7 linked regions of the Macaca fascicularis genome follow. The protein of the gene in region 1 interacts with the protein of each later gene in a pairwise test. Links are inferred from orthologs where the notes say so. Each region holds a gene or a part of one and is shown in the gene's direction. Other genes may lie near its edges.

The links.
Region 2: the proteins of TRIP6 (region 1) and SNAI1 interact in binary tests that used the Homo sapiens proteins (3 or more experiments, as listed by UniProt). The two-hybrid records come from large-scale screens. The link is inferred for Macaca fascicularis from reciprocal best matches to the Homo sapiens genes TRIP6 and SNAI1.
Region 3: the proteins of TRIP6 (region 1) and HOXA1 interact in a two-hybrid assay, tested with the Homo sapiens proteins (2 studies listed by BioGRID and IntAct). The two-hybrid records come from large-scale screens. The link is inferred for Macaca fascicularis from reciprocal best matches to the Homo sapiens genes TRIP6 and HOXA1.
Region 4: the proteins of TRIP6 (region 1) and RAD23A interact in binary tests that used the Homo sapiens proteins (3 or more experiments, as listed by UniProt). The two-hybrid records come from large-scale screens. The link is inferred for Macaca fascicularis from reciprocal best matches to the Homo sapiens genes TRIP6 and RAD23A.
Region 5: the proteins of TRIP6 (region 1) and OIP5 interact in binary tests that used the Homo sapiens proteins (3 or more experiments, as listed by UniProt). The two-hybrid records come from large-scale screens. The link is inferred for Macaca fascicularis from reciprocal best matches to the Homo sapiens genes TRIP6 and OIP5.
Region 6: the proteins of TRIP6 (region 1) and BYSL interact in binary tests that used the Homo sapiens proteins (3 or more experiments, as listed by UniProt). The two-hybrid records come from large-scale screens. The link is inferred for Macaca fascicularis from reciprocal best matches to the Homo sapiens genes TRIP6 and BYSL.
Region 7: the proteins of TRIP6 (region 1) and HOXA9 interact in binary tests that used the Homo sapiens proteins (3 or more experiments, as listed by UniProt). The two-hybrid records come from large-scale screens. The link is inferred for Macaca fascicularis from reciprocal best matches to the Homo sapiens genes TRIP6 and HOXA9.

The regions. Positions count from the first base shown.
Region 1 is NC_088377.1:49,460,017-49,464,022, forward strand, and holds the start of TRIP6 (thyroid receptor-interacting protein 6), read left to right. Parts: upstream 1-1,206; 5' UTR 1,207-1,317; coding exon 1,318-1,426; intron 1,427-1,675; coding exon 1,676-1,803; intron 1,804-1,922; coding exon 1,923-2,048; intron 2,049-2,305; coding exon 2,306-2,677; intron 2,678-4,006. Other genes in the region: SLC12A9 (solute carrier family 12 member 9), read left to right, coding at 1-446. UniProt on the Homo sapiens protein: Relays signals from the cell surface to the nucleus to weaken adherens junction and promote actin cytoskeleton reorganization and cell invasiveness. Involved in lysophosphatidic acid-induced cell adhesion and migration.
Region 2 is NC_088384.1:106,067,382-106,071,573, forward strand, and holds the start of SNAI1 (zinc finger protein SNAI1), read left to right. Parts: upstream 1-1,392; 5' UTR 1,393-1,472; coding exon 1,473-1,554; intron 1,555-2,245; coding exon 2,246-2,773; intron 2,774-4,192. UniProt on the Homo sapiens protein: Involved in induction of the epithelial to mesenchymal transition (EMT), formation and maintenance of embryonic mesoderm, growth arrest, survival and cell migration.
Region 3 is NC_088377.1:103,176,221-103,180,321, forward strand, and holds the start of HOXA1 (homeobox protein Hox-A1), read left to right. Parts: upstream 1-1,301; 5' UTR 1,302-2,132; intron 2,133-2,254; exon of another isoform or gene 2,255-2,277; 5' UTR 2,278-2,348; coding exon 2,349-3,000; intron 3,001-3,461; coding exon 3,462-3,817; 3' UTR 3,818-4,101. UniProt on the Homo sapiens protein: Sequence-specific transcription factor. Regulates multiple developmental processes including brainstem, inner and outer ear, abducens nerve and cardiovascular development and morphogenesis as well as cognition and behavior.
Region 4 is NC_088393.1:13,343,611-13,347,900, forward strand, and holds the start of RAD23A (UV excision repair protein RAD23 homolog A), read left to right. Parts: upstream 1-1,490; 5' UTR 1,491-1,577; coding exon 1,578-1,649; intron 1,650-3,449; coding exon 3,450-3,611; intron 3,612-3,771; coding exon 3,772-3,953; intron 3,954-4,089; coding exon 4,090-4,145; intron 4,146-4,278; coding exon 4,279-4,290. UniProt on the Homo sapiens protein: Multiubiquitin chain receptor involved in modulation of proteasomal degradation. Binds to 'Lys-48'-linked polyubiquitin chains in a length-dependent manner and with a lower affinity to 'Lys-63'-linked polyubiquitin chains.
Region 5 is NC_088381.1:17,880,752-17,885,042, reverse strand, and holds the start of OIP5 (protein Mis18-beta), read left to right. Parts: upstream 1-1,491; 5' UTR 1,492-1,521; coding exon 1,522-1,843; intron 1,844-2,083; coding exon 2,084-2,150; intron 2,151-4,291. Other genes in the region: NUSAP1 (nucleolar and spindle-associated protein 1), read right to left, coding at 1,033-1,125. UniProt on the Homo sapiens protein: Required for recruitment of CENPA to centromeres and normal chromosome segregation during mitosis.
Region 6 is NC_088378.1:129,646,089-129,650,078, reverse strand, and holds the start of BYSL (bystin), read left to right. Parts: upstream 1-1,190; 5' UTR 1,191-1,254; coding exon 1,255-1,522; intron 1,523-3,990. Other genes in the region: MED20 (mediator of RNA polymerase II transcription subunit 20), read right to left, coding at 699-712. UniProt on the Homo sapiens protein: Required for processing of 20S pre-rRNA precursor and biogenesis of 40S ribosomal subunits. May be required for trophinin-dependent regulation of cell adhesion during implantation of human embryos.
Region 7 is NC_088377.1:103,107,515-103,111,681, forward strand, and holds the start of HOXA9 (homeobox protein Hox-A9), read left to right. Parts: upstream 1-1,367; 5' UTR 1,368-1,450; coding exon 1,451-2,030; intron 2,031-3,078; coding exon 3,079-3,317; 3' UTR 3,318-4,167. UniProt on the Homo sapiens protein: Sequence-specific transcription factor which is part of a developmental regulatory system that provides cells with specific positional identities on the anterior-posterior axis.

The DNA.
Region 1 (4,006 bases):
GGATCTTCCTGTGCCTGGGGCCTAGGGAGGCGCCTGGGGCGGCCGAGGGGCGGCTGCGGGCACTGCTGAGCCAACTGAGGATCCGGGCTGAGGTGCAGGAGGTGGTGTGGGGCGAGGGGGCTGGGGCTGGGGAACCCGAGGTGGAGGAGGAAGGGGACTTTGTGAACAGTGGGCGGGGAGATGTGGAGGCAGAGGCCCTGGCACGCAGCGCCAACGCCCTGGTTCGGGCCCAGCAGGGGCGTGGCACAGGAGGAGGGCCGGGTGGGCCGGAGGGTGGGGATACCGAGGGCCCCACCACAGCCCTCACCTTCCTGTACTTGCCTCGGCCACCCGCCGATCCTGCCCGCTACCCCCGATACCTGGCGCTACTGGAGATTCTAACCCGAGACCTGGGCCCCACGCTGCTGGTTCATGGGGTCACCCCAGTCACCTGCACTGATCTCTGATGCCCCTGCCTCCAGGGCTGGGTAGAGAGGGCCCAGGCAGGTGGCCCATCCCGATCCTGAGGAGGAGGAGGAGGAAAGCACTGTGTCCCGTGGCCCTGCCCTTGGGACGTGGAGCCCAGGGGAGGTTTGAAGGGGATCATGCCACCTCCTTTGGCAGAGGGACTCCAGCACACTAACTCTGGGCGCCTGTCCCCACCATGCAGGGGAGGGAGTCCGCAGCCTCCCTTCACTGGTGCCTTGATGCTAGGGGCCAGGCCTCCGTGACTCTGGGCTACCTCAGTTTCCCCATTTTGGCCAGACTCACCGGCCCACTGGGGTGGTGATGTTTTTGTTCTGTTTTATTTTTCTAACTCTGCTGACCATGAATAAAAGACCAAAACACTACAGGCTGGCTGAGCAGTGCTGGTGGGTAGCTGAGAGGGAGCGGGTGGGAAGGGAGAGCTCTGCAGAGGGGTGGAGATCGGAGCCTTCAGCCTCCCGCAGTGAGGCTGCCACGTGCAGGGCTGGGGCGCGGGGCCTGGACGCATCCGTGGACTTGGAGGCTGGCCCGGGCCTGCACCTCCCATCCCCAGCTGCCCGCAGCCCCCAGTGACTTGGGCTCCCCGGGAGAGTCCTCCCCTCTCGGCAGGAGGGGGCCGACTCGGGGAGAAATGGCAGTTTAGGGCCTCGGGGGCCACGTGACCCTCCCCCAGGAATGTGGTGACGTCATCGGGGGCGTGGTCGTCCCCAAAATTAGGGAGGAAGAGGAAAAAAAAAGACAGAAAAAGTTTTCTTTTCTGGAGTCCCAAACGAGGTGCGGGACGGAAGAGGGGTTGAAGGCCAGAGGCCCGAGGCTTCAAGACCGCTGTCTGGAGTACCCCCGTTCCAGGCCATGTCGGGGCCCACCTGGCTGCCCCCGAAGCAGCCGGAGCCCGCCAGAGCCCCTCAGGGGAGGGCGATCCCACGAGGCACCCCGGGGCCTCCACCGGCCCATGGAGCAGGTAAGGCAGCCCTTGTGAGACAGAAGAGCTACCCGGCTGTGGCGCTCACCTCTGTCCTCCAGCTCCAGCCTCCCGCCCTGCCTGCTTCCTCTTACCCCTTCCCCAAGCCGGGGGGAACAGCCGCCTGCGCTCTCTTGGGACCCTAGATTTGGGGGAGGAGGTAAGGAGGGGCAAAGAGGGCAGCTCCCCAAATGCACACCCCTCCTGTCCTCCGCCACCCCACCTTTGATCTCTCTTCCCTCAACCCAGCACTCCAGCCCCACCCCAGGGTCAATTTTTGCCCCCTCCCATCTGAGCAGTGTTACCAGGCCCCAGGGGGACCGGAGGATCGGGGGCCGGCCTGGGTGGGGTCCCACGGAGTACTCCAGCGCACGCAGGTGAGAACTGGGATTGCGGGGTGGGATGTGCGGCGTCCCTAGAACCGAGTCTGGGGGACCCAGGACAGGAGAAGGCCTATGGTGATTTGCATTCTTCCCTGCTCTGGCTTCATCCTCAGGGGCTCCCTGCAGACAGGGGGGGCCTTCGCCCCGGAAGCCTGGATGCCGAGATAGACTTGTTGAGCAGCACGCTGGCCGAGCTGAATGGGGGTCGGGGTCATGTGCCACGGCGACCAGAGCGACAGGTGACTCTGCCCCTCCTCCCCATCGGCACCCTGTCCCCTTCTCTGGACTCTCAGACCCAGCCCGACCCCCCGATGTATGTGATGTGCACCTCAGCATGGAGGAAGCACGGCTGCAAGTACCAACATGTCAGCCACTTGAGGACGGGACCTTGCCAAATGCAAAAGCCTGTGCTTCCCCACACCCAGGGTCATTTCCACAAATGTGGGTCCTGGAGTGGGGGCCTTGCTTACGGCTTCTGGCCTGCGTTTCTCCTTAGGCATACGAGCCCCTGCCACCTCCTGCCTACCGCACGGGCTCCCTGAAGCCGAACCCAGCCTCGCCGCTCCCAGCGTCTCCCTATGGGGGCCCCACTCCAGCCTCCTATGCTACTGCCAGCACCCCAGCTGGTCCGGCCTTCCCCGTACAAGTGAAGGTGGCACAGCCAGTGAGGGGCTGTGGCCCACCCAGGCGGGGAGCCTCTCAGGCCTCTGGGCCCCTCCCGGGTCCCCACTTTCCTCTCCCAGGCCGAGGTGAAGTCTGGGGGCCTGGCTATAGAAGCCAGAGAGAGCCAGGGCCAGGGGCCAAAGAGGAAGCTGCTGGGGTCTCTGGCCCTGCAGGAGGAGGAAGAGGAGGCGAGCACGGGCCCCAGGTAAGCCCTGGGGACCTGGGATTTCAGGTCCTACAGGCAATGGGACACTGATTGGGTGGGATGGCTGGTGGTGTTTTAGGGGGCTGGTTTTTTTTTTGAGACAGAGTTTTGCTCTTGTTTGCCCAGGCTGGGGTGCAGTGGTGCCATCTTGGCTCACTGCAACCTCTGGCTCCCGGGTTCCAGTGATTCTCCTGCCTCAGCCTCCCGAGTAGCTGGGATTACAGGCATGCGCTGCCACGCTCGGCTAATTTTTGTATTTTTAGTAGAGATGGGGTGAGCCACCACGCCTGGCTAAGGGGCTGGTTTTGGAGCAGAGTCAGAGGTCTGGGATGTGGAACAGGTAAGGGCGGGGCCGTGGTATGGGGGAGCAGGATAGAACTGCTCACTGGGGCCAGGTACAGTGGCTCACACCTGTAATCCCAGCACTTTGGGAGGCTGAGGCGGGTGGATCACCTGAGGTCGCGAGTTTGAGACCAGCCTGACAAACATGGAGAAACCTTGTCTCTACTAAAAATACAAAATTAGCCAGGCATGGTGGGGCGTGCCTGTAATCCCAGCTACTCGGGAGGTTGAGGCAGGAGAATCGCTTGAACCTGGGAGGTGGAGGTTGCGGTGAGCCGAGATCGCACCATTGCACTCCAGCCTGGGCAACAAGAGCAAAACTCCGTTTCAAAAAAAAAAAAAAAGAACTGCCCACGGGCCCCTGGGCTGAGATGTTCTCAGATGAGCTTTCTAGCTGGAATTGCCTGGCCACCTTCAGGGACATTACAGCAGTCCCCAGTCTTTTTGGCACCAGGGACCAGTTTTGGGGAAGACAATTTTTCCATGGACTGGGGAGGGCGATGGGAGGGGGATAGTTTCGGGATGATTCAAGCACATTACATTCATTGTGCACTTTATTTCTGTTATAATAATAGAACATACAATATATATAATTGTTTCATTATATATTACAATGTAATATATAACAACGTAATATATAACAACGTAACATATAACGAAACAATTATACAACTCATCATCATGTAGGATCAGTGGGAGCCCTGAACTTGTTTTCCTGCAACTAGACAGTCCCATCTGGGGGTGATGGGAGACAGTGACAGATCATCAGGCATTAGATTCTCATAAGGAGCTCACAAGCTACATCCCTCGAACGCACAGTTCACAATAGCGTTCACACTCTTATGAGAGTCTAATGCCCTGCTGATCTGAGAGGAGGCGGAGCTGAGGTGATAATGCAAGTGATGGGGAGTGGCTGTAAATACAGATGAAGCTTTGCCCATTGCTCACCTCCTGCTGTGCAGCCCGGTTCCTAACAGGCCATGGCCT
Region 2 (4,192 bases), on another chromosome or scaffold:
CACCAAGTGACCAAAACAGACAGTAGTTCTGCCCTTCATGTTGCTGGTGGTGGTGTGGGGTGCTTATAGGTTTTTCTAGTCTTCCTTCACAGGTGGAAACAAGAACGGTGAGACCTGTGAGGTTTATTTCAGCGCTACTCCCGGGCCTGGTATGCCTCCCAGGGAAGCTGGGGTGGGGGTGCAGCTGCCCCTCACCTGGGCCCACCCCACATGCATTCAGTCAGGGCCCCTACAGAGCAACGTTAGAGCCTTTAGACACAGGATCGAGGATCTTCACAGGGGTGAGGAGACACGCCCGGCCCATCCCTTCTTTCTCCCGCCGGCCTACAAGGATCTTTTTCTACGAAACTCTAACCAGGTCCCTCGTCAGCTGAAAATCCTTCGGTGGCTCCCCAGTGCCTTTGAGGCAAAGTCCAACCTCCTACGAGGCCCTGGGGCACAGCACATCTGACCCCTCCGGGCCTGCCCACCCCACGCCATCCCTGAGAGCTGCTCTCTAGGAGTTACTCTGAAGCAGTTGCCACTTCTTCCCTCGGGCCTTTTCCCTTGATAATTCTTCACTTCCTCTGGGAAGTCACCCCGACCCCCTGTCAGGTGACCCGCCTCTTAACGGTCGCTGCGTCCCGTCTCTCCCCCGCCAAAGCACACTTCCCTTTGCATTGTAATTGTCTGTTTACTTCGTCTGTCTCCCCCACTGGACCGGGAGCTACCCTTCGGGAGAGGCCTTGAATGTCCTGTCCGGGGCTGTGCCCTGCCCCAGGTACAGCTGGGCCCTCCGCAAACACTGGCTAAGGGAAGGAACGGGCGCTCTTCGCTAGCTGGGCCAGGCTGCTTTGCAAAACGGCCGTAGCATTTCACGCCGCCAGGAGCCACGTGCGGTGTCCGTTTCCTCGCTTCCTCCCCAGCAATGTGCATTTCCCTCGTCAATGCCACGCTCTCCAGGCGCCAGCCGGGCGGAGGAAATTTCCGCCCCCTCCTAAGCCCGAGGCGGGGGCGGGCGTCGGAAGGTCAGGTGTCCCGGCCCGCGCGCAGCGCCAGGGGGCGTCAGAAGCGCTCCGACCACGGGGCGCTGAGCAGGTGGGCGCGCGGCGTTCTGGCGGGGTCCCACCTCGCAGGGGCCTCGCTTCGCTCGACGTCCCGCCCCGGACAGTCCGAGCACCACGGACGACCCGCGCTGCGCCTGCGAACTCCGCCTCGGAGGAGCCCCCGCCCGGGCTCCCAGCGCCACGCGGCGCGAGCCCGGCCAGCCCCCGGCGCACCTGCTCGGGGAGTGGCCTTCGGCGGAGACGGGCCTCCGATTGGCGCGGAGGTGACAAAGGGGCGTGGCAGATGAGGCCCCTCCCCTCCCACCCCCTTGGAGTATTTAAGGGAGTTGGCGGCGCGGCTGCTCTCATTGCGCCGCGGTCCGGCCTTGTGAGTGGTACGTTTGCGCTGCTCCTGCGCGACTCGGCGACCCCAGTGCCTCGGCCACCATGCCGCGCTCTTTCCTCGTCAGAAAGCCCTCCGACCCCAATCGGAAGCCTAACTACAGCGAGCTGCAGGACTCTAATCCAGGTGTGTTGGAGGGGTGGTGGGCTCCAGGAGGTTTGGGGGAGACAGGCGAAGGCTGCGTGGGGGCCACCTGAGGGAGGCGGCCTGTCTGAGCCAGGATCGAGTCACAGGGTGTTTTGTGGAGCATTGCGGGCTCGGGCTCGGGCTCGGGAGACCGGGCAGGTGGGTCCCCAGTCCTGGGGATCGGTCTGGGTGGTTGGGGGAGTGCTGTGTAGAGAGCAGGGGTTTTGTGCTTGGGTGGCCTGTGTAGCCGGCGAGAGGCGGAGGAGCTCCGCGAGAGTGGGAGAGGAGGCCTGTGTCAGGAAGGCCCTCTGGACGCTGCTGGGGAGAGTCCGGAGTCCAGAGGGTTGAGGGGAGGGGTGGGGAGACGAGATGTGTGTGAGGAGGGGGATTGGGGCAGGGTGGTGGCTCCAGGGCTGGGGTGATGGGGTTCTGGCCTCAGGCTGGGGACTTGGGACTTAGGAGAGGGAGATCTGGAAATGACCCCCTTCAACTGGGGGTCCTACCTGTGAGAGACTCAGATTGGGTGACCTGGGCCAGGAGGGCAGGAACCTGGTCTGTCCTGTGGATCATTTTTTTGATCTAATTATGTGTTGAGAATCAGCCCTACCCAGCCCCTGGCCAGCGGTGGGTTCATGTTTGTTGATTGAGTGAATGATTTAATTAACGCCTGACTCTGCTTTTTCTCTCTCAGAGTTTACCTTCCAGCAGCCCTACGACCAGGCCCACCTGCTGGCAGCCATCCCACCTCCAGAGATCCTCAATCCCACCGCCTCGCTGCCAATGCTCATCTGGGACTCTGTCCTGGCGCCCCAAGCCCAGCCAATTGCCTGGGCCTCCCTTCGGCCCCAGGAGAGTCCCAGGGCGGCAGAGCTGACCTCCCTGTCGGACGAGGACAGTGGGAAAGGCTCCCAGCCTCCCAGCCCACCCTCACCGGCTACTTCGTCCTTCTCCTCTACTTCAGCCTCTTCCTTGGAGGCTGAGGCCTATGCTGCCTTCCCAGGCTTGGGCCAAGTGCCCAAGCAGCTGGCCCAGCTCTCTGAGGCCAAGGATCTCCAGTCTCGAAAGGCCTTCAACTGCAAATACTGCAACAAGGAATACCTCAGCCTGGGTGCCCTCAAGATGCACATCCGAAGCCACACGCTGCCCTGCGTCTGCGGAACCTGCGGGAAGGCCTTCTCCAGGCCCTGGCTGCTACAAGGCCATGTCCGGACCCACACTGGTAAGTGCCCCTCCAGGCGCCCCCACCGTTGCTTTCTGTGGCAGCTTTGTGAATTGGGACTTGCTGTTCTCATTCGCAAAGTTGTGGACACTGAGGCCCCGAGTCTCCTAACTTCTAGCTCAAGTTCAGGGGCCTGCTCTCTGGAAATGTTTGGCAGAAACGTTCCTTCATCAGCTAAGCAGATGAGCAAAGCAGACACCTTCCCAATCCCTGCAGCCTGTTTCTCAGCCAAATGGGCTGGAGCTGGATATCGGAAAAGTGCAACCAACACCTTGCTCTGGGGGCCACAGGTGTGAAGGGGCCCACCCAGCCCCACCCTCTCCCGGTCCGCCCCCTCCCTAGCCAGACAGGATGTTGTCAGACCCCCCACCTGGCTCTGAATCCTTTGAGAACTTTCTCAAAGCTTAGGCTGATGTTTCACTTCTGTGAGCCTCATTTTCTCTATCTTTCAGATGGGCATGAGAACAGCTTGTGGGGTTTCTGTACGGGCTAAATGCAGGAATGCATATGGGAATCACCTGGCAAAGTGCCGGGTACCTGCTAAACTGTCACAAAAATGGTTCCTTGGCATTTGCTCTGCTTCCCTGCTGTGTGACTTTGGGCAAGCAACTTAACCTCTCTGAGACTCGGGAGAATTATGATGGCATATGTTTTAGAGAGTGGCTGTAGGCCGGGCGCAGTGGCTCAAGCCTGTAATCCCAGCACTTTGGGAGGCCGAGACGGGCGGATCACAAGGTCAGGAGATCGAGACCAGCCTGGCTAACATGGTGAAACCCCGTCTCTACTAAAAAAAATACAAAAAACTAGCCGGGTGAGGTGGCAGGCGCCTGTAGTCCCAGCTACTCGGGAGGCTGAGGCAGGAGAATGGCGTAGACCCGGGAGGCGGAGCTGAGATGCGGCCACTGCACTCCAGCCTGGGCGACAGAGCGAGACTCCGTCTCAAAAAAAAAAAAAAAAAAAGAGAGTGGCTGTAAAGGTGGCTAATCACTTTATAGTAATTTATTATACCCGAATAGTTCTCAGGTCGGCTTCCCCACCCCCACTCAATCCTAGCACACACACCAGAAAACAGCAATTTTAGGGCAGAAAACACAATCACGTCTTTCGAAAATTTACTAAATATGTAGAAAACTTTCTGGACATGGAGAAAAGGTAGAACTTTTTAGAACTTGAACGGTGGCAGCCACTGTGCCTGGAGCTGCTCTTTGGAGAGGGACAGTTGAGGGAGAAGATTCCACAGGGTTCAAGCTGGCCAGGTTCTACCATTCCTGGCCCGGCGCCTGACCTCTGAGCAGTGAGGGTCAGTGAGGTATCTGGGAGGACTGGCATTTCGCGGGCTTTATTGGCATCTTATTCGACTAAGGCTACCCATTTCTTTTCCTTCCTGCACCAGTAGCCCTGATTTTAACATGTAAAGGT
Region 3 (4,101 bases), about 54 Mb from region 1:
GTCCTGCAAACCCAGGCTGAGGAGGGCAACCAAGGTACAGGAATGAGGCAGCGGGGGAAAATGTACTGACTTGCTCAGGCTTGGAGGAAGGATTGCTCTCATAGCCAGCACCGACCTCCTCACATCCTGCCCACTCCCCCACAGGAGCTCTTTCTCTCCCTGCCGCTGGAAGCTGGCGCTCCCAAGGAAGCCACCTCCAGGAGGACCGCCTTGCCTTTCCCCTTCTCCAGAAGGATGATTCCCAGGAGCCGAAACTGGGGCAGGGGTGGCTGCCCAACCCCAGGAAGCGGCTCTTTCCTGCCCCTGCTCCCTCTTAACCATGCTTGGAATGGATCAAAGTCACAGAGAAATACCAACCTGAAAGGAAATGTTTGGGGAGAATGTTTCATTGTTACTGAGGGAGTCCAGAGTCAGCATGGGTTTTCCCTCTTGAGGGGACAGGTTTGGGGGAGCTTCAGTAGGTGGAGAACAGAATACAGAAGACTGAAAGGGTGACTAACATATTTGAAATGTGCCTGCCTTGAAAAAAAAACCTTCCTTGTTCTAACAGGGGAGGAAAGGCTGAAGGGGAGTGGAAACCCCAAACCCACATACATTCCTCACTATAAATTCCATCTGATTCCAACATTGTACACATGGTTGGAGTAAAATTTATACAGCATTGGCTGCAAAGCTTCCTGGACGAGCTCTCGATTTCTCCTACCCAAGACTGCATCAATTATTGGTCTCCGTTTGGCTTTTTCCTCTCTACAAGCCCAGGGTTGACGTGAAACCTAATAGTAAACAACAATTAACGACCTCAGCAGCGTCAGGGTAGAAGGAGGGTGATGGGGAACAGGACCCTTGGCCTGGGATGACGCTCAGATTTTCACGTGTCCCTCTAAGGAAAGACTTGAAGGTTCTCATAAGCAACTACCCAGCCAGTTGGAAAGGGGAGGAGGTGTCGTTGGGGTAAAGTGTTCTGTCCACCATCAGCCATCTGTCCACCGCTCCTCCCACCTGCCAGTCCCCGCACCCACTCTAGACGCGCAGCAGAATGAGGAAGGTTACAAAAGGAAGCTCTCTCTCTCTTCTAACATTCCCCTCCAGAAAAAGAGGAACGCAACGAAGGGAGTTCAGCTACTTTGTTGGAGCTGTGGACCGGCCCTGCGAGGCCCACGCGGGAGCGGAGGCTCCTGGGTCTCGGGCGCCGGCAGATGGCCTGCAGCGCACGGCCCGGCCCCCACGCTGGCCACGTCCGCCAGCGTCATCTCTCTCCCCCGCCTCCTACCCCTAAAAATCCGGCGGTCGAGTAGCTCCGCATCCCGGAGGGCTCCCGCTGCAAAACTGAGTGGGAAAGAAACGGCGGAGAGCGAGGAGAGAGGGAGGGTGGGGAAGAAGAGCCCGGTCGCCCCCGGCCTTTTCCGGCAATCCCTGTTTCCAGGGCTCTTCCGCACCCCCCCTTCCCCGGTCGAATTACAGAAACTCCTCATTGCCATGCTAATGAAGAGCGGGGGCTGTGGGGAGAGGGTTTCGGAGACTCTCCTGGAAGAAGGGAAGTTTCTTTTCTTGCCCTCGTCTCCTTCACCCCCACCCGAGTTCCTCCCAGCCAGCCCTCTGCGCTCTTCCCTCTCCATTCCGCGCTTGGAGAGCCGGTGGCCCAGCCTCGCCCCCTGCCACGGTTCTGTGCGCTCCTCACAGCCCCATGGTCTCCCAGCCCAGCCTCAGAGCAGAGAAGGCGGCCTGGGAACCCGGGGCTCGGTGTCAGCCGGATTCCCCGCCTTCCGGTTGGGTGCGCTCCGGGCTGGGCCCGCGAACCTGCGGCCACCCGGCGAACTCCGGCCCACTAACTCGCGCCCCGAGAGAGCCGGGAGCCCTCTTCCCTTCTCACCTCTCGCCAGTTCATCTTTCAGTGCACAGTGGGGAGGGGGCGGGAGCGGGGGACGCCTCTCAGCCCCCACCTCCCGGAGGCCTGGCGGGGCGGGCAGCGGAGTCGGGCGCGCGCAGAAGGCAGCCTTTGCTCTTCTTCGCTCCAGCACTCCAAATCGGCCGTTGCAGTCGCCGCAGCAGCTGCCGCCGCCTGGGCTGCCTGGGGGGGCGACTGCACGTCACCTAGACGGCGGAGCGCCGGGGATTTAAATGCCACTGAAACGGTGATCCATCACCGCGGAAGCCGGCAAACTTTTGCAGGAGGCTCAGCCATTGGCTGACACCGTCACGTGCCCCTCCCCTAGCGTCCTCCGCCCTCCCGCCCCCCCCCTCTTGCGCACTGTACATTCATATCATTTTTCTTCTCAGGCCCCATGGAGGAAGTGAGAAAGTTGGCACGGTCACCCAGGGCTTCGCAGGACCAGGTCACTCAGTGACAGATGGACAATGCAAGAATGAACTCCTTCCTGGAATACCCCATCCTTAGCAGTGGCGACTCGGGGACCTGCTCAGCCCAAGCCTACCCCTCGGACCATGGGATTACAACTTTCCAGTCGTGCGCGGTCAGTACCAACAGCTGCGGCGGCGACGACCGCTTCCTAGTGGGCAGGGGGGTGCAGATCGGTTCGCCTCACCACCACCACCACCACCACCATCACCACCCCCCGCCGGCTACCTACCAGACTTCCGGGAACCTGGGGGTGTCCTACTCCCACTCGAGTTGTGGTCCAAGCTATGGCTCACAGAACTTCAGTGCGCCTTACAGCCCCTACGCGTTAAACCAGGAAGCAGACGTAAGTGGTGGGTACCCCCAGTGCGCTCCCGCTGTTTACTCTGGAAATCTCTCATCTCCCATGGTACAGCATCACCACCACCACCAGCGTTATGCCGGGGGCGCGGTGGGCTCGCCTCAGTACATTCACCACTCATATGGACAAGAGCACCAGAGCCTGGCCCTGGCTACGTATAATAACTCCTTGTCCCCTCTCCACGCCAGCCACCAAGAAGCCTGTCGCTCCCCTGCATCGGAGACATCTTCTCCAGCGCAGACTTTTGACTGGATGAAAGTCAAAAGAAACCCTCCCAAAACAGGTCAGTCCTGCTGGTTGGTGGATGCTCCTTGATTAATCTGGAAGGAGCTGGTATGCTTAATTTCCAAGGAAAATTAATAATTATCTTTTTTTTTAAAGGCTTTAAGACTAGTGTTGTAGTGCATGGAGAGGGTACCCAGAGGTGTTGGGGCAAAGAAGCCTCAGGGATTGGCGTGTTCTCAAGGATTTTATACATTTGGGAAGTAGGAAGTGTGTGGGGGTGGTTATTGTGACGGTAGTGTTCTGTTAATATCTTAAGGCTCCATTAATCACCGATCTGACCACGCTAATGGTTGACTTCAGGTTAACACTTTACACCTCATCACTCACCCTCCACAGCCCGATTTGTGTTGAGTTCTTGATCTTTTCTTTACCTGAGTGTTGCCATGAAGTGTGTAGGTAATCTCAAGTCGGTTTAAAAATTTTTACCTTTCCATCTCATGGCTTCCCACTTTGCCCCAGGGAAAGTTGGAGAGTATGGCTACCTGGGTCAACCCAACGCGGTGCGCACCAACTTCACTACCAAGCAGCTCACGGAGCTGGAGAAGGAGTTCCACTTCAACAAGTACCTGACGCGTGCCCGCAGGGTGGAGATCGCTGCATCCCTGCAGCTTAACGAGACCCAAGTGAAGATCTGGTTCCAGAACCGCCGAATGAAGCAAAAGAAACGTGAGAAGGAGGGTCTCTTGCCCATCTCTCCAGCCACCCCGCCAGGAAACGACGAGAAGGCTGAGGAATCCTCAGAGAAGTCCAGCTCTTCGCCCTGCGTTCCTTCCCCGGGGTCTTCTACCTCAGACACTCTGACTACCTCACACTAAGGCGGCTCCAGTCCCAGACCACAGCCCAGGCATCTCCTTGGGCTGGGACTTCTTACCCAAAGCACATGCTTAGCTTATCTTTCTTTCCATTTACAGTCTCTTCCTTTCTGATCCTATCTGGGGAGCTCCTGGCCAGGATAATATGTTTGCAGATAATTCTGGACCAGAGACTTGGTGCCGGGTTAACACCTTAATCCAGATTGGGTGCCAGCACACATTTTCTGGTGGGCCTTAACATCCCTCCTGATTTTAGGAGAATTCACAGAACCTACTGTTCCTTTCAG
Region 4 (4,290 bases), on another chromosome or scaffold:
TCACCATATCTCTTAGCTCCCCTCCAACCTGGGGGGCAGTGGTGTGGAGAAGCTGCAGGCCTGAAATTTCATCTGCTCTCCTTCCTGGAGCCCAGAGGGGGGCAGGAGAAGGGGGTGGTGTCTCTAATCCCCCAGCACTGAGGAAGAATGGGGCTCTTCTCATTTCACCCCGCCCTTTCTCCCCTGCCCCCAGGACTGGGCCATTTCTGGGTGGGGCAGTGGGTCCCAGATTGGCTCACACTGAGAATGTAAGAACTACAAACAAAATTTCTATTAAATTAAGTTTTGTGTCTCCCTCCTGTGTCTCCTTTTGGGGAAAGACAGACTTCAGGAAACCCAGCAGTGGTCTTTTTGGGGGTGGGGAGGGTTTCCAGTATATCTCCTTTTTCAGCTGTTGCTAGAGAGGTTACTGACTGTTCCACAAGATTCCAGGGACCCGTATTTACCCCATAACCCTCAAAACCAACGGGGGAATGACTGTTGCTGCCGTAAATACTCCACATATTAATTTACTGAATCCTTGAACCTAACTGGTAAGTTTTGGTTCTGTTTATTGGTTTTATTTTTAAGATAGACTGTTGCTCTGTTACCCAGGCTGGCCTACAATGGCTTAATCTGGTTTACCCTGCCTCTTAAACTGGCCTTCTTCATGCTTCTATTCCTTTGGGGTCCTGTGGCTCAGCCCAACCCCTCTGGGATGCCTCTAGGACTGGCAGATCCAAGGGAGAATTCTGTTTTTAATGTCGTGAGGCTTTGAAAGTTAACATCTTTAAATACTTTTGGGGTCAGATTGGGGATAGTACAACAAAGTACTCCTGGCGGGAGACCCAGGAATTAAAATAGTAGGTTCATTCCAAAAATCCGGATCCCTAAAGAATGAATGAGGCTACAAAATGGCACCTTGCCCCTGCTACCAATGTAAGGTTTTTTTCCTCTGCTTGGTGGCCTTTCAGGTATTTCTAGTCTTGAGTAACTTCCACTTTGCCCTATCTGCCAGAATAAAACTCGGGGCCAGGTGCAGTGGCTCGTGCCTGTAATCCCAGCACTTTGCCAGGCCGAGGCGGGCGGATCACCTGAGGTCAGGAGGTGGAAACCAGCCTGGCCAACATGGTGAAACCCTGACTCTATTAAGAATGCAAAAATTATCAGGGCATGGTGGGGGTTCCCTGTAATCCCAGCTACTCGGGAGGCTGAGGCAGGAGAACTGCAGGAACCCGGGAGGCAGAGGTTGCAGTGAGCCGAGATCGCGCCATTGCACTCCCGTGACGTCACCGCTAACGGGCATGGCGTCACTTTGGAGATCTCGTGTGCTGGCAGAATGAGAAGCCCCGTCCCCGCCCACGCCCACAACGCGGAGTTTAGTCTGCGCATGCCTCGCTCGACACCGCGCTCGTGCGCATGCCCATAAAGGCCAAGGAGGGTGCGCACAGGTCACGTGCGCCGGTGGTCAGCGCGCGCATCGCCTGCCCCGGAAGTGGTCGGCGCGCGGCGCGGCGCGCCTGGGAGCTAAGATGGCGGCGGCGTGAGTTGCATGTTGTGTGAGGATCCAGGGGCCGCCGCGTCGCTCGGGCCCCGCCATGGCCGTCACCATCACGCTGAAAACGCTGCAGCAGCAGACCTTCAAGATCCGCATGGAGCCTGACGAGACGGTGCGGGCCAGGCCAGAGCCCGGGGGCGGGAGTGACGGGTGCCGGGGATGGGGTGGGGGCGGGGAGACTAGGATCCCAACGGGAGGGGCAGGGAGGACGGCGCGGGTCGGCCCTGTCCAGACCCCCGACCTGCCCGACTTTCCTGGACCCCCCGATGGTCTTTAGCCCAGTCCCCAGCGGATCGGGCGGCGCTCCTGGGCCGGTCTCCGGGCGAGGCCCCACCCCCGGGCCTCTGGCCAGGTCCCGGCTCCAATGTCAGCGCTCTCGCGGGGCGCGGGAGTCACAGGCTCGGAGGCCTGGGCAGGCCAAGCTCTCCAGGACTGGGCTCCACGTTCTCAGCTTTGCAGGCTTCTCCTGGGGACACTGGTGGTGGAATCTAGGAGTAATGACCAGGAGATAACGAGTAGTGACGACAACAACGATGTTAATGATAATAAAGGGATCTCAGTCTTTATAATTTTGGTGGTCCGTGTTTGTTGGGCGTTTATTTTTTATCAGTCATCGAGTGTTTTAGTGTTGTTTTACTGCTCTGCAGAACGGGCTTGTCATTGAGGACCTCTGACCATTTTACAGATGTGGAAACCTTGGGGTTAAGGAACTTTGTCACAGTCACACATGTAATGTCAGAGCTGGGATTCACATTCGGTTCTGCCTCGTGTGAGCGTCCACTATATAAATATTATGCTGCCTTTTTAGTCAAAAATAGAATTAGGACCTAATTCAAACATAATGACTATTGGGTACTTGGCACTTTTTGCACAGTGAGGGAGACATTGAAGTCCACTTTTTGTAGAAAAGGAAACACACATTTTTTGATCAGCTCAACGGTTTGGCTTTGGGCAAGTTAACCTCTCTGTGCCTCCGTTTTCTCAAAATATCAAATGAACCTGTCGCCTGCTGGCTTCCGCCTGTAATCCCAGCACTTAGGGAGGCAGAGGCAAGAGGAGCGCTTGAGCCTGGGAATTCAAGATCATCCTGGCAACACAGTGAGACCCCATTCTCTACAAAAAGAAGAAACAAAAATAAATAAAAGGAGGTCAATTAAATGTATTTCATAGGAGGCTTAAAAGGTATGCCACATACACACTTACAGTAGCACTATTGGCCAGGCATGGTGCCTCATGCCTCTGTAATCCTAATGATTTGGGAGGCGTAGGCAGGAGGATTGCTTGAGGCCAGAAGTTTGAGACCAGCCAGCCTAACATAAGGAGACTCTTATCTACAAAAATAAATTTTTTTAAAATTAGCCTGGTGTGGTGGTGTGCACCTTTAGTCCTAGCTACTCCCGAGGCTGGGTGAGAGTACCACTTGAGCCCAGGAGTTTGAGGCTACAGTGAGCTGTGGTCGTGCCACTTCAATCCAGTGTGGGCAACAGTGAGATCCTGTCTTTTAAAAAAGAAATATCACTGTGAACTATTAGTCACTGTTATTGTCCAAGATACAGTGTAGAGTGGGGGACTGTCCCCTTTATTCTGTTATCATACTTTATGCCACCTGAAATTAACATTTTCTTCACATTAGTGTTCTCTCATTGAGAGCAGGGACTTGTGTTATGTTCTGTGCTGTGGCCTCCATGTCTAAAACAGCACCTGGCACGTAATAGGTGTTTAGTATAAATAAATACTGTGTTGAATGGCATGATGATTGAATGAATTCTTATCTAGCATGCTTTAGATGCTGAGAAAGCTTAAAAATTCCAGCATGCTTGCCTCTCTGCCATCAGGGCTTGCAGCTTCTCCGTCCTAAACTAGAAGAGAGAATCTTGGGGTCTCCAGTGACTGTCTGTACTACTTCTTCTAGGTGAAGGTGCTAAAGGAGAAGATAGAAGCTGAGAAGGGTCGTGATGCTTTCCCCGTGGCTGGACAGAAACTCATCTATGCCGGCAAGATCTTGAGCGATGATGTCCCTATCAGGGACTATCGCATCGATGAGAAGAACTTTGTGGTCGTCATGGTGACCAAGGTGGGTGACGTGTGCTGGCTGGGAGGGACGAGCAGGGGAGCTGGCAAAGAGCCTGTGTGCCCAGGAGAGATTAGCCATGAACAGGGCGGGGCCACAGCGGAGCGGGTTGTTGGGTCTGATAGGGTTGCTGATGCCAGCTCCCTTTTTCTTGCTGTTGCAGACCAAAGCCGGCCAGGGTACCTCAGCACCCCCAGAGGCCTCACCTACAGCTGCCCCAGAGTCCTCTACATCCTTCCCGCCTGCCCCCACCTCAGGCATGTCCCATCCCCAACCTGCCGCCAGAGAGGACAAGAGCCCATCAGAGGAATCCGCCCCTACGACGTCCCCAGAGTCTGTGTCAGGGTAAGGCGGGGCAGCAGTCCCAGCTTGGGCCCTGTCTTCCTAGCACATTCCAGTGTCCACATAAGTGGCCCACACACCTGGAGGGAGGGCAAGCCGCCAGAAGCCAGGGTCCGATTTCTCTCTCTTGAATTTGCAGCTCTGTTCCCTCTTCAGGTAGCAGCGGGCGAGAGGAAGACGCGGCCTCCACGCTAGGTGGGTGGGTGGTCCCCAGGGCAGAGGCGACTGGGTGCCCCAGCCATCAGCTGGGCCTTGTCTGGGTGCGGGAGGGCCTGGGAGCTGCCCTTTCCTCTTCCTGGTGACCCAGGCTTTTCTGCTCCCTCCACAGTGACGGGCTCTG
Region 5 (4,291 bases), on another chromosome or scaffold:
CAGTATTATGTGGGAAGTCTCAACTATTAACAAAATATATAAAACCGCTATCCTACATTGAATCCCCAAATCTTCTAACATCTTGTTTTTTGTTTGTTTGTTTGTTTTTGTTTTGTTTGAGACTGAGTCTCGCTCTGTCACCGAGGTTGGAGTGCAGTGGGTGCGATCTTGGCTCACTGCCACCTTGGCTTCCCAGGTTCAGGCGATTCTCCTGCCTCAGCCTCCCGAGTAGCTGGGATCACAGGCGAGTAGCTGGGATCACAGGCGTGTGCCACCACGCCCGGCTAATTTTTTAATGGCCAGGCTGGTCTCGAAATCCTGACCTCAGGTGATCCAACTACCTTGGCCTCCCAAAGTGTTGGGATTACAGGCATGAGTCACCGCGCCCGGCCAATTCCCCTAACATCTTGTAGCCTCGGAGTCAAAGACCTTACTGGTTTTGATAGATACCATCACCACAACAGTCATCAATAAGCACATGAGTATACTAGATCAGGGCTGAGTTATAAAAATTTACCCAAGGAGGTGGTCCCCTAAAAGTCGATTTTTTCTTTCCCCCTGACAGGTCCATCAATAAAGTATCAAGAGATTATCGGCAATATTACAAATCACTGAAGTCTGTGTGGGGTTTTCTAGAAGCTGAGCCAATTATTTACTTAATTGTCTAACGATTAACGACACCCCTTCTGCTTTCTGGGCCTGCGTTTCGTAATCGATGACCTGAGAGGTATAAAGTAATTTCAAAAAAAAAAAAAAAACACAAAAAACGAAAAACAACAAACCACCCCTCGGAACAGAGGCTTATCATGTGAGCACCCAGACAAGCCAGCTTCAAAATGAGGTGAAAACTACAGTTCCTCTTCCGTTTATCAGAGTTCTAACTGGGACCACCGTGAACCACATCTACTGCCCGAGGGGCAGGGACGGCTGCTTCAGTCCCCGGGCTTCCCGTTCGGTCCCTTCGCACCGCATCTCCCTGAGGCCGCTACTCCCGCCGCGCCCGCCCAGGGAACTGCCCCGCCAGCGTCGTACCCGCAGGTTGGCTCGGAGACCCAGACTCTTGGCTAAGTTCTGCAGGTCACTGTACTTGAGGGAGTCCAGCTCCTCTAGGGAGGGGATGATCATCGCGATTCAAAATCCCGGCGATACTCAGAAGATGGATCACCAAGTCTCGTAAGCGAGGTTCAAATCCCTGGCGCCACTCTTAACTTTGACTAAGCTGAAATTTATAGACAGTTTAAATGAAGAATGCCGCGCTTCCATTGGTTGAAAATGCCTCAAAGGCGGGGTTTCTAACCCTGACCAATAGAAAGGCTGATTTCCCGTCCCAACAGTCGCGCGCTTTTCTCACACTTCACGAATACGCAGGCGCCGAAGGGCCTGTAAGACCGGTTCAGGTAACGAGTGCGCGGACTGGGACTCCAGTGCTTGGATTGCCCACGATGTCCAATGAGGACGCAGGAGCTGTGCTTGGGGCGGGGCCTGGCGTGTATTCGAAACGACGGCGCCGGCTGAGAGAAGATGGCGTTTCAGCCGCGGCGGCATCGCTCCCCTTGTGCAACGCCGCCCCAGGGTGACTTTTGTGATGGCACTGAGAGGGCGATTGACGAAGCATCTTTTACGACCTCCATGGAGTGGGATACACAGGTGGTGAAGGGGTCCTCGCCGCTCGGCCCCGCAGGGCTGGGGGCTGAGGAGCCGGCCGCCGTCTCGCAGCTGCCGTCTTGGCTGCAGCCTGAGAGGTGCGCTGTTTTCCAGTGCGCACAATGCCACGCCGTGCTCGCCGACTCGGTGCACCTCGCCTGGGACCTGTCGCGGTCCCTTGGGGCCGTGGTCTTCTCCAGTGAGTGCAGTGAGGCGTTCGGGAAAGGCAGAGGCTAGCCCGAGAGGTTGTTCCCGCCTTCTCCACCTGGGGAAGAAAACGGAATGAAAATTTGGAAGCACATAACTCCTTGGCCTGGGGATGGGGCAGGGAACTGGGGAGTCTCCTGACATTTATGGCGGGGATGAGTCTGTCTAGAGGAGAGATTTTCCATTTCAAGGCCCGCAGAGTATGAGTTCTGACCCGTGTTTGTGTTCCTAGGAGTTACAAATAACGTCGTTTTGGAAGCGCCCTTCCTAGTTGGCATTGAAGGTTCACTCAAAGGCAGGTACGTATTGATAATTACAGATTGGTCTCTAGTCCCTGACTTTATGAGACTGAGGAGCGTGGAACTGACATGTACTTGTTGAGCAAGTCTGTTGACAGCATTTCCTTTTTTTTTGTTGGTTTGATTTTTTTCTTTTTGAGATGGAGCCTCACTCTGTTGCCCAGGCTGGAGTGCGGTGGCGCGATCTGGGCTCACTGCAAGCTCTGCCTCCCAGGTTCACACCATTCTGCCTCAGCCTCCCGAGTAGCTGGGAAGGCATGTGAAGTCATGCCAAATTGTGAATATGAAGAAAAAAATGGGGCCGGGCGCGGTGGCTCACGCTTGTAATCCCAGCACTTTGGGAGGCTGAGGTGGGTGGATCACATGAGGTCAGGAGTTCAAGACCAACCTGACCAACATGGTGAACCCCCATCTCTACTAAAAATACAAAATTAGCCGGGCATGGTGGCACACACCTGTAATTCCAGCTCTTTGGGAGGCTGAGGCAGGAGAATCACTTGAACCCGGGAGGCAGAGGTTGCAGTGCACTGAGAACACACCATTGCACTCCAGCTTGGGCAGCAAGAGCAAAACTCCATCAAACAAACAAATACATGGAAATTAAAAGTGCTACTCCAGTTATAAGCTGATATGGAGGAAGTTTGAGTGGTATGAGTAGAAGATCAAACCAGCCACAGCATTCCTTTAAACCAAAGCCTAATCCAGAACAAGGCCCTAACTCTCTTCAATTCTGTGAAGGCTGAGAGGTGAGGAAGCTGCAGAAGTTTGAAAGTAGCAAATGTTGGCTAGGTGCAATGGCTCATGCCTGTAGCCCCAGCACTTTGGGAGGCCGAGGTGGGTGGATTGCTTGAACCCAGGAGTTTGAGACCAGCCTGGGCAACATGGTGAAATGCTGTCTCTACAAAATACAAAACAATTTAGCCGGATGTGGTGGTGCACACCTATAGTCCCAGCTGCTTGGGAGGCTGAGAAGGAAGGCTGGCTTGAGCCATAGAGGTCGAGGCTACAGTGGAGCTGTGATTGTGCCACCACACTCCAGCCGGGGTGACAGAGCAAGACTATCTAAAAAAAAAAAACAGAGGTTGGTTCTTGAGATTTAAGGAAAGAAACCTTCTCTATAACAAAAGTCCAAAGTGAAACAGCAAGTACTGATGCAGAAGCTGCAGAAAATGAAAGTGGGTACACTAAACAACAGATTTTCAGTGCAGATGAAACAGCCTTCTATTGGAAGAAGATGCCATCTCAGACTTTCATAGGTAGAAAGGAGAAGTATTACCTGGCTTGAAAGGAGCTGGTCACAGTGACTCACACGTGTAATCCCAGCACTTTGGGAGACCAAGGTGGGAGGATTGCTTGAGCATAGGAGTTCAAGACCAGCCTGGGCAACATAGCAAGAACCGATCTCTACAAAACATTTAAAAATTAGATGGGCATTATAGTGTGCACCTGTGGTCCAGCTAATTGGAAGGCTGAGGTGGGAGGATCACTTGAGTCTGGGATGTCAAGGCTGTAGTGAGCTGTGATGGTACCACTGTACTCCATCCAAAAAAAAGAAAAAAAAAAGCTTCAAAGGACAGGCTTTCTCTCTTGTTAGGGGCCAATGCAGCTGATGACTTTAAGTTGAAGTCAATGCTCATTTACTGTTACTATCTATAGCTACTATAGATAGTTATTCCTCTGATGGATATGGGCAAAGTAAATTGAAAACCTTCTGGAAACCCAGCTAAATTTTGTATTTTTAGTAGAGACGGAGTTTCACCATGTTGCCCAGGCTGTTCTCAAACTCCTGGTCTCAGGTGATCTGCCCGCCTCCCAAAATGCTCAGATTATAAGCGTGAGCCATTGCGCCCGGCCCAGTAAATTAATTTCCACTGACACATTTGTTTATAAGTACTGTGCTTTGTCTGAACTAATTAATTCCTACGTGGAATTTCAAATTAATGACACTTTATTTCACAGTTTGCTTTTTGGTTACCTATATTCACAAGATTACTATATGTGTGGTGTGGGACTTCATTTACCAATAAACCTAATATATTTTGTTATTTGTTCTTTTTTAGTATCCATTGACATGAATATTTCTTTTTAGCTATGTGTTTTTTGTTTTTTTTTTTTCTTTTTTAAGACGGAGTTTTGCTCTT
Region 6 (3,990 bases), on another chromosome or scaffold:
ACGAGGTCAGGAGATCGAGACCATCCTGGCTAACACGGTGAAACCCCGTCTCTACTAAAAATACAAAAAACTTACCCGGGCGAGGTGGCAGGCGCCTGTAGTCCCAGCTACTCGGGAGGCTGAGGCAGGAGAATGGCGTGAACCCGGGAGGCGGAGCTTGCAGTGAGCTGAGATCCGGCCACTGCACTCCAGCCTGGGTGACAGAGCGAGACTCCGTCTCAAAAACAAACAAACAAACAAAAAAAAAAACAAAAAACTTTGCTTTGTCGACACCAGCCTGGCCAATATGGTGAAATCCCATTTCTACTAAAAATACAAAAAATAGCCGGGCGTGGTGGTGGGCGCCTGTAGTCCCAGCTACTCGGAAGGCTGAGGCAGGAGAATCGCTTGAACCCAAGAGGCGGAGGGTGCAGTGAGCCAAGATCGCACCACTGCACTCCAGCCTGGCGACAGAGCGAGACTCCGTCTTAAAGAAAAAAAAAAAAAAAAAAAAAAAACTTCGCTTTGCTTTCCCGCCTTCCAAGAGGAAGGGGCGCATCTCCGAGGAAACAAGGCCGGGGAACCCGCGGCTCGCACGGCATCCTCTCATCCACACAACCCGAGGACAGCTCCCAGGGGACGGCGGACCACGGTCAAGGTCCTCTTTTCGGCCCTTCACAACTCCAAGCTCCGCCCTACAAAACCCCCTGCAGTCCTACCAAGTCACTCCCATGGCGTCGGGCCAGGAAGGCGGCCGGATCACACGGTAGAAACGCAGGGTTCCCTATCCGCCCACAGAAACTGCTTCAGTTCCCCAACACAACCTTCGGTCTCGGAAGAGACTCCGGAAATACGTAAAAACAGAGCGCCGGGTCCACGCCTTCCCCAAGGAGTGGGGCGGGTCTCAGGGCCCCTCGGTGACACCTCTAGTGACATCATCTGCGGATTCCCGCCCACAGGTTTCTAAATCCAGACATTCTCGTTTGGCTGAGCACTCTAGGCCTAGACCCATGAAGCTAAGAGCGACACTCAAAGACTGCACTGTTGAGAGAAGCTAACGTTAAAGGCTGTAAATATATTGGGGAGTCCAGCACCGGAACCCGGGAGCTCTTTTAGTGGGAGGGGCGGCGCTGATGGCGCTTCTGGCCTCCGAATGCTAGGGGGCGCTGTGATCGCCGCGTGGCCTCTTGAGAGCCGGGAGTCCACCGCGCAAGCGCAATCTGGCTTTTTCGCCGTCTCCACGTGCGAACCTCCGCGGCAACGTTTTCGAGAAAAATGCCCAAATTGAAGGCGGCCCGTGGGGTCGGGGGTCAGGAAAAACATGCGCCCCTGGCCGATCAGATCCTGGCTGGGAATGCGGTGCGGGCAGGGGTCCGGGAGAAGCGGCGGGGTCGCAGGACCGGAGAAACGGAGGAAGAGTATGTGGGACCCCGGCTGAGCCGGCGGATTTTGCAGCAAGCACGGCAGCAACAGGAGGAGCTCGAGGCCGAGCATGGGACTGGGGACAAGCCCGCGGCGTCGCGGGAACGCACCACGCGGCTGGGTGAGTGTCTGGGATGAGATCCGAGGAAGACAGTGGCCAGTAGTGGGGCGGGGTGGACAGCTAAAAAGTGTCTGGCAGGGGAATTGCTTCGAGTCAACAAAGGGTCCGTATTACACTTGCAAAAGTAATGGAATGGGAGACTGAACCCTGTTCAGAGCCCTCCGCGTCCACTCCTAGTTTTAGGCACTCCCTTCTACACATCCCCTAAGTTAGGCCAACAGTAATCGCTCGCTCCACCCTAGCATTTATCCATTGGTTTTGTAAATATATATGGGATACCCACTACGAGCTTTGTACTATGCTCGGAGTTCTATCGAATGTTTGGGTACAGAAGTAAACAACATAGGCACGTCTGACTTAAGGACCTTACAGTCAAGCCCAGTAGAGAGTCAATTAAGTAGACTCTTAGAATAATATTTTTCTATGATAAAGTGTCGCTTCCCTGGTAACAATAGCATTGGTCTTGAGAAGCTTCTCCGATTGCAGCAGGACCTTTTAAGTTGAGAACTGAAAAACGAATGGGAAGTGTTATGAGCAGAAAACACATTGTTTAGCAGCCAAAGAGGGAGAGAGATGAAAGACGTTTGATATTTTCTCGCTAGGGAGGGAGTGTTGACCTCTGAGATGCTTCATCCGTTTTCCAGATCTCATCTAAAGCAATATTTGACGCAATTGAATAGTGGCCTCCTGGCCACAGTATCCTTACTTGGGTTTTAAGACATCAACACTCCTGTTTTACTGCCACCTCACTTCTCAGTATCCTTGACTGACTCTTATTGCAACCTCTTATCCTCAGTCCTCTGACCTCTTCAAATATTCTCTGGTGCTGGCAAGTTTCGTGGTTTAAATACCATCTCTTGGGTGACTACTCCTAACTTTATAGTCTAGCCCTGACCTCTTCCATGAAATCCATATTCTTATATTCAACTGCCTATTTGGCAACTCCAATTTAAAATCTGACAGCTCAAATTTAACATGTACAAAACAGAAATCTTGACCTCTCCAAACCTGCTTCTCTCACCATTGTCTTCCCCGTCAGTAGCGTATTCTTTCATTTGCTCAAGACAAACTTTAGACTCCTGTATTTCTCTCTCCCCCTCTCTCCCTCTCTCCCCCGCCCCATCTCCTCTCTGTCTCTCCCTCCCCACATCTGATCTGTAAGAAAATTCTGATGACTCTGCCTTCAAAGTATATTCAAAATCAGACCACTTTTCACCGCTTTGGAACACCATCCTGTTGAAGCCACCACAATCTCTCACCTGGATTATCACAGTAGCCTCCTCGTTAGTATCTCATATTCTCCTTTTTTTCTTTTTCTTTTTTTTTTTTTTTTTTTGAGATAGAGTCTCTCACTCTGTCACCCAGGCTAGAGTGCAGTGGCACAATCATAGCTCACTACAGCCTCAATCTCCTGGGCTCCAGCTATCTTTCCCACCTCAGCCTCCCACATAGCTGGGACCACAGGTGTGTGCCAGCATGTCCAACTAATTCTTTTTTTTGTTGTTGTTGTTCTTTTTTGAGACGGCCCAGGCTGTAGTGCAGTGGCACGATCTCAACTCACTGCAACCTCTGCCACCTAGGACCAAGCAGTTCTTCTGCCTCAGCCTCCTTAGTAGCGAAGATTACAGGCATGAGCCATCACATCCAGCTGATTTTTGTATTTTCAGTAGAGATGGGGTTTCACCATATTGGCCAGGCTGGTCTTGAACTCTTGACCTCAAGTGATCCGCCCACCTCAGCCTCCCAAAATGCTGGGGTTACAGATGTGAGCCACCTCACCCAGCCACTAATTCTTTAATTATTTGTAGAGATGAGGTCTCACAGTGGTGCCCAGGTTGGTTTCAAACTCCTGGGCTCAAGTGATCCTCTCTTCCTTGGCCTCCCAAAGTGCTGAGATTACAGGTGTGAGCTACTGCACCCTGCCATATCTCATACTCTCTACAAAGCACTCCACAGGTAGGGGATTACAATGGTCTACAATGCACTTTATGATCTGCCTCCTTTACCAGTCTGACTTCTACTGCTTTCCTCTGCGCATTCCACTCCACCTATACAGGCTTCATTGTGCCTTAAACATGGGAAATTAGAGCGTTTGGCCTGGTTGTTCCTTCTCTCTGGGATAGTTTGTTCTCATACACTTGTAGGGTTACTTTCTCAGAGAGGCCTATCTACTCCATTTACGATTGCAGCACTCTACTCCATCTCCATACTCCCAATATTTCTGCCCTATCTTTTTTCATAGTACTTTTTTTTATTTTTTTTTTTTGAGACAGAGTCTCGCTCCATTGCCTAGGCTGGAGTGCAATGCTGTGATCTCGACTCACTGCAACCTCCACCTCCTGGGTTCAAGTGATTCTCCTGCCTCAGCCTCGTAAGTAGGTGGGATTACAGGCGCCTGCCACCACGCCCAGCTAATATTTTTTTTTTGTATTTTTAGTAGAGATGGGGGTTTTGCCATGTTGGCCAAC
Region 7 (4,167 bases), about 54 Mb from region 1:
CCCTCCCCGTTCTAATTTCCAGCCCTGGCCTTGAGCTGTGGTTGCCTCTCTTTGGGCCTTGTACCTCTCCGCCGAGTCGCCAGGTCCGTAGGTAACCAAGGCGAGGCCCGGAGTACTAGCTGGAAAGGGGGAAAGGAGCCCTGAAAGGCTCACACGGCCCCGGGACAGGCCACATCGGTGCGGACCTCCCAGCCGCCGGAGCCGCGGGGTCTCAGGCGAGGCTGCCTTTCCCCAAGCCGAACTCTCCTTCCGTTGATGCCACTTGGAGTTTTTTCCCCAGTTGGGGTTCAGGGAGCTCAACTAGGCTTGCAGCACTCAGGGTTAGAGCCTCTGAGGCTGGAACACAGGGCTGGGTCGCCAGCCGCCTGCGCCTGGGAATCCTGATTTCCAGCTGATGAGAAGGGCGGGCTGGGTGCGCGTTTGCGTGGGGTCGACGGCCGGGGGCCGAGCGCCCCACACAACCAACCAGGCCCTCAAACCCTTCGCCCTGGGGGCGACTGGCCGCTCCCTCCTGGCCAGCTCCTCAGTGGGGTCCTCGCAACAAAGGCGAATTTAAGGACTGCTCTTGCGCCCCTCGCTCCAGGCGGGTAGCCGTGGGGACCTACACCCGCGGTACTTCCTGAGCGGCCAGTCCCTGCCTGGAGTGCCCTGGTAGGGCCGGCGGCTGCTCCGTTTGGGACGGATCCTGCGTTGAATTTGACTTTTCGCAGGCGGCCGGGGGTAAACTCGCCTCTCCCGGGGACCGCAGGGATTATTTACAGGGAGCTCGCCAACCAAACACAACAGTCTAACCTTTCCAAGTCCTCGTAAATTTTTACTGCTGGGAGCCAGGGCGAGGCAAACGAATCTGTTGGTCGTTCCCGACTTCCCGCCAGCCTGTGTGGCTTCTGAAACAATAACTCCTTATGAAATATCATAAATATAGATTTAAATACAGTAGAGCGAGAATGCGATTTGGCTGCTTTTTTATGGCTTCAATTATTGTCTAATTTTATGTGAGGGGCTCCGCTGGCCGCACTCGCACGCGGGACCCGCGCCTCCCTGATGGCGTGATTAATTGTGATATAAAATAGTCCGCTTAAGAAGTGTGTGTATGGGGGGGAAGGGGGAGTACAGAGGCAAGGCTAGATTTGATCTTTTAATCTTCGTTGGCCACAATTAAAACAAACCCGATCGTAGAGCGGCACGATCCCTTTACATAAAAACATATGGCTTTTGCTATAAAAATTATGACTGCAAAACACTGGGCCATTAATAGCGTGCGGAGTGATTTACGCGTTATTGTTCTGCTGGGCGGGCACGTGACGCGCACGGCCAATGGGGGCGCAGGCGCCGGCAACTTATTAGGTGACTGTACTTCCCCCCCTGGTGCCACCAAGTTGTTACATGAAATCTGCAGTTTCATAATTTCCGTGGGTCGGGCCGGGCCGGCCAGGCGCTGGGCACGGCGATGGCCACCACTGGGGCCCTGGGCAACTACTACGTGGACTCTTTCCTGCTGGGCGCTGACGCCGCCGATGAGCTGAGCGCTGGCCGCTATGCGCCGGGGACCCTGGGCCAGCCCCCCCGGCAGGCGGCGACGCTGGCTGAGCACCCTGACTTCAGCCCGTGCAGCTTCCAGTCCAAGGCGGCAGTATTCGGCGCCTCGTGGAACCCGGTGCACGCGGCGGGCGCCAACGCTGTACCCGCTGCGGTGTACCACCACCATCACCACCACCCCTACGTGCACCCCCAGGCGCCCGTGGCGGCGGCGGCGCCGGACGGCAGGTACATGCGCTCCTGGCTGGAGCCCACGCCCGGTGCGCTCTCCTTCGCGGGCTTGCCCTCCAGCCGGCCTTATGGCATTAAACCTGAACCACTGTCGGCCAGAAGGGGTGACTGTCCCACGCTTGACACTCACACTTTGTCCCTGACTGACTATGCTTGTGGTTCTCCTCCAGTTGATAGAGAAAAACAACCCAGCGAAGGCGCCTTCTCCGAAAACAATGCTGAGAATGAGAGCGGCGGAGACAAGCCCCCCATCGATCCCAGTAAGTGTCTCCTCCCTTCAAATCAGCCGCCACCACCGCCTCCATGCCGGCCTCCCGGATCTGCTGGCCCGCCAGCTTTCTCTCGAGCGTGCCTTCGTCCTCGCTAGGAGCCTCTCAAGTTGGGGCCAGGAGCCAGAATTTGGTGTTTGGGACGCCTCAGATAGGGCCCCAAGACCGGAGAGCCGTGAAGAGTGGCCCGCAGGGCTACGGGAGAGGAGGCTGCTGCTGCAGCGACAGGGGGCGGGGCGGGCACTTCGGGCTGAGCCAAGACTGGCCGCCCCTCTCCCTGGCTGCCCGGGCCTAGGACCGAGATACTTTGGGCCGTTCTTCGAAAGCAATGCAGCCCAGAGAGCCTTTTGTGCAACTAGATTGTCCGTGAACGGCGGCAGCCAGGGCAGCCGGAGCCGGGACGCTGGGGGAGACGGCCGATTTCCTTCCACTTCTTGCCTTCGGCCAGTGGCGGCGTAAATCCTGCCAAGATAAGGCGCGAGCGACCCGGGCCACAAGGGTCCCCATGCCAGATTATTCAAATAAGCCACAGACGTGATCAACGGCCTTGGGGCGCCCTGACGGCATGCCCAGCTCCGAAGGCCTTCCAGGAAGGTCAAATAAGGAGTAGGGGGTGAGAGCGTAGAGGGAAAGGTTGGGAAGGAAAGACGAGTCAGTGAACGGGACAGAGGAATCCTAATCTTGCTACAGGACACAAGGCAGCATGCTTTCCGTCTGCGTGGCAAGGAGATCTGTTTCCAAATTTCATTCTATACAGCGTTCGGGGAGTGGGAGGAAGGAGAAGGGGGACAAGAGGACGGAGGATGAGAAAGGAGGGTCTCGGAGGGGAGGGGGAGCCGAAGTTTTACTGCGTGCAATTGTAAGTGACCCTCTGTGCTTCTGTTTGCCAGGGTTCCATTGTGTCCGAGGCCTGACTGCCTTTCCTAACCAATTCAGCAGAGTTCTGCACTTCGGCCAGAGACCCCACCCAGGAGGTTCCTTTGCCCCCAGCAGGGTGTGCGTATCCTCCTCCTAAACCCAGTGTTTCTCTTCTCCACAGATAACCCAGCGGCCAACTGGCTTCATGCGCGCTCCACTCGGAAAAAGCGCTGCCCCTATACAAAACACCAGACCCTGGAACTGGAGAAAGAGTTTCTGTTCAACATGTACCTCACCAGGGACCGCAGGTACGAGGTGGCCCGACTGCTCAACCTCACCGAGAGGCAGGTCAAGATCTGGTTCCAGAACCGCAGGATGAAAATGAAGAAAATCAACAAAGACCGAGCAAAAGACGAGTGATGCCATTTGGGTTTATTTAGAAAAAAGGGTGAGCTAGAGAGAAAGAGAACTGCCCGTCCCCCTTCCGCCTTCTTTCTTCTCTCACCCCCACCCTAGCCTCCACCATCCCCGCACAAAGCGGCTCTAAACCTCAGGCCACATCTCCCCCAAGGCAAACCCTGTTCAGGATGGCTCGTAGGCCTGCCGCTTTGATGGAGGAGGTATTGTAAGCTTTCCATTTTCTATAAGAAAAAAAAAAGTAGGGGGGGCATTAGTGCTGATAGATGTGTGTGCTACCTTGTATATATATTTTTAAAAATCTACCTGTTCCTGACTTAAAAGAAAAGGAAAGAAACTACCTTTTTATAATGCACAACTGTTGATGGTAGGCTGTATAGTTTTTAGTCTGTGTAGTTAATTTAATTTGCTGTTTGTGCGGCAGATCGCTCTGCCAAGATACTTGAACACTGTGTTTTATTGTGGTAATTATGTTTTGTGACTCAAACTTCTGTGTACTGGGTGATGCACCCGTTGTGATTGTGGAAGATAGAATTCAATTTGAACTCAGGTTGTTTATGAGGGGAAAAAACAGTTGCATAGAGTATAGCTCTGTAGTGGAATATGTCTTCTGTATAACTAGGCTGTTAACCTATGATTGTAAACTAGCTGTAAGGATTTCCCAGTGAAATAAAAAAAATTTTTTTAAGTGTTCTCGGGGATGCATAGATTCATCGTTTTCTCCACATTAAAAATGCGGGCATTTTCGTCTTTCCATGATCTGTAGTTCTGTCTTGTCTATTGTATATATAATCTATATAATTAAAGAAAATATACATAATCAGACAAGCTTGAATATTGTTTTTGCACCGGA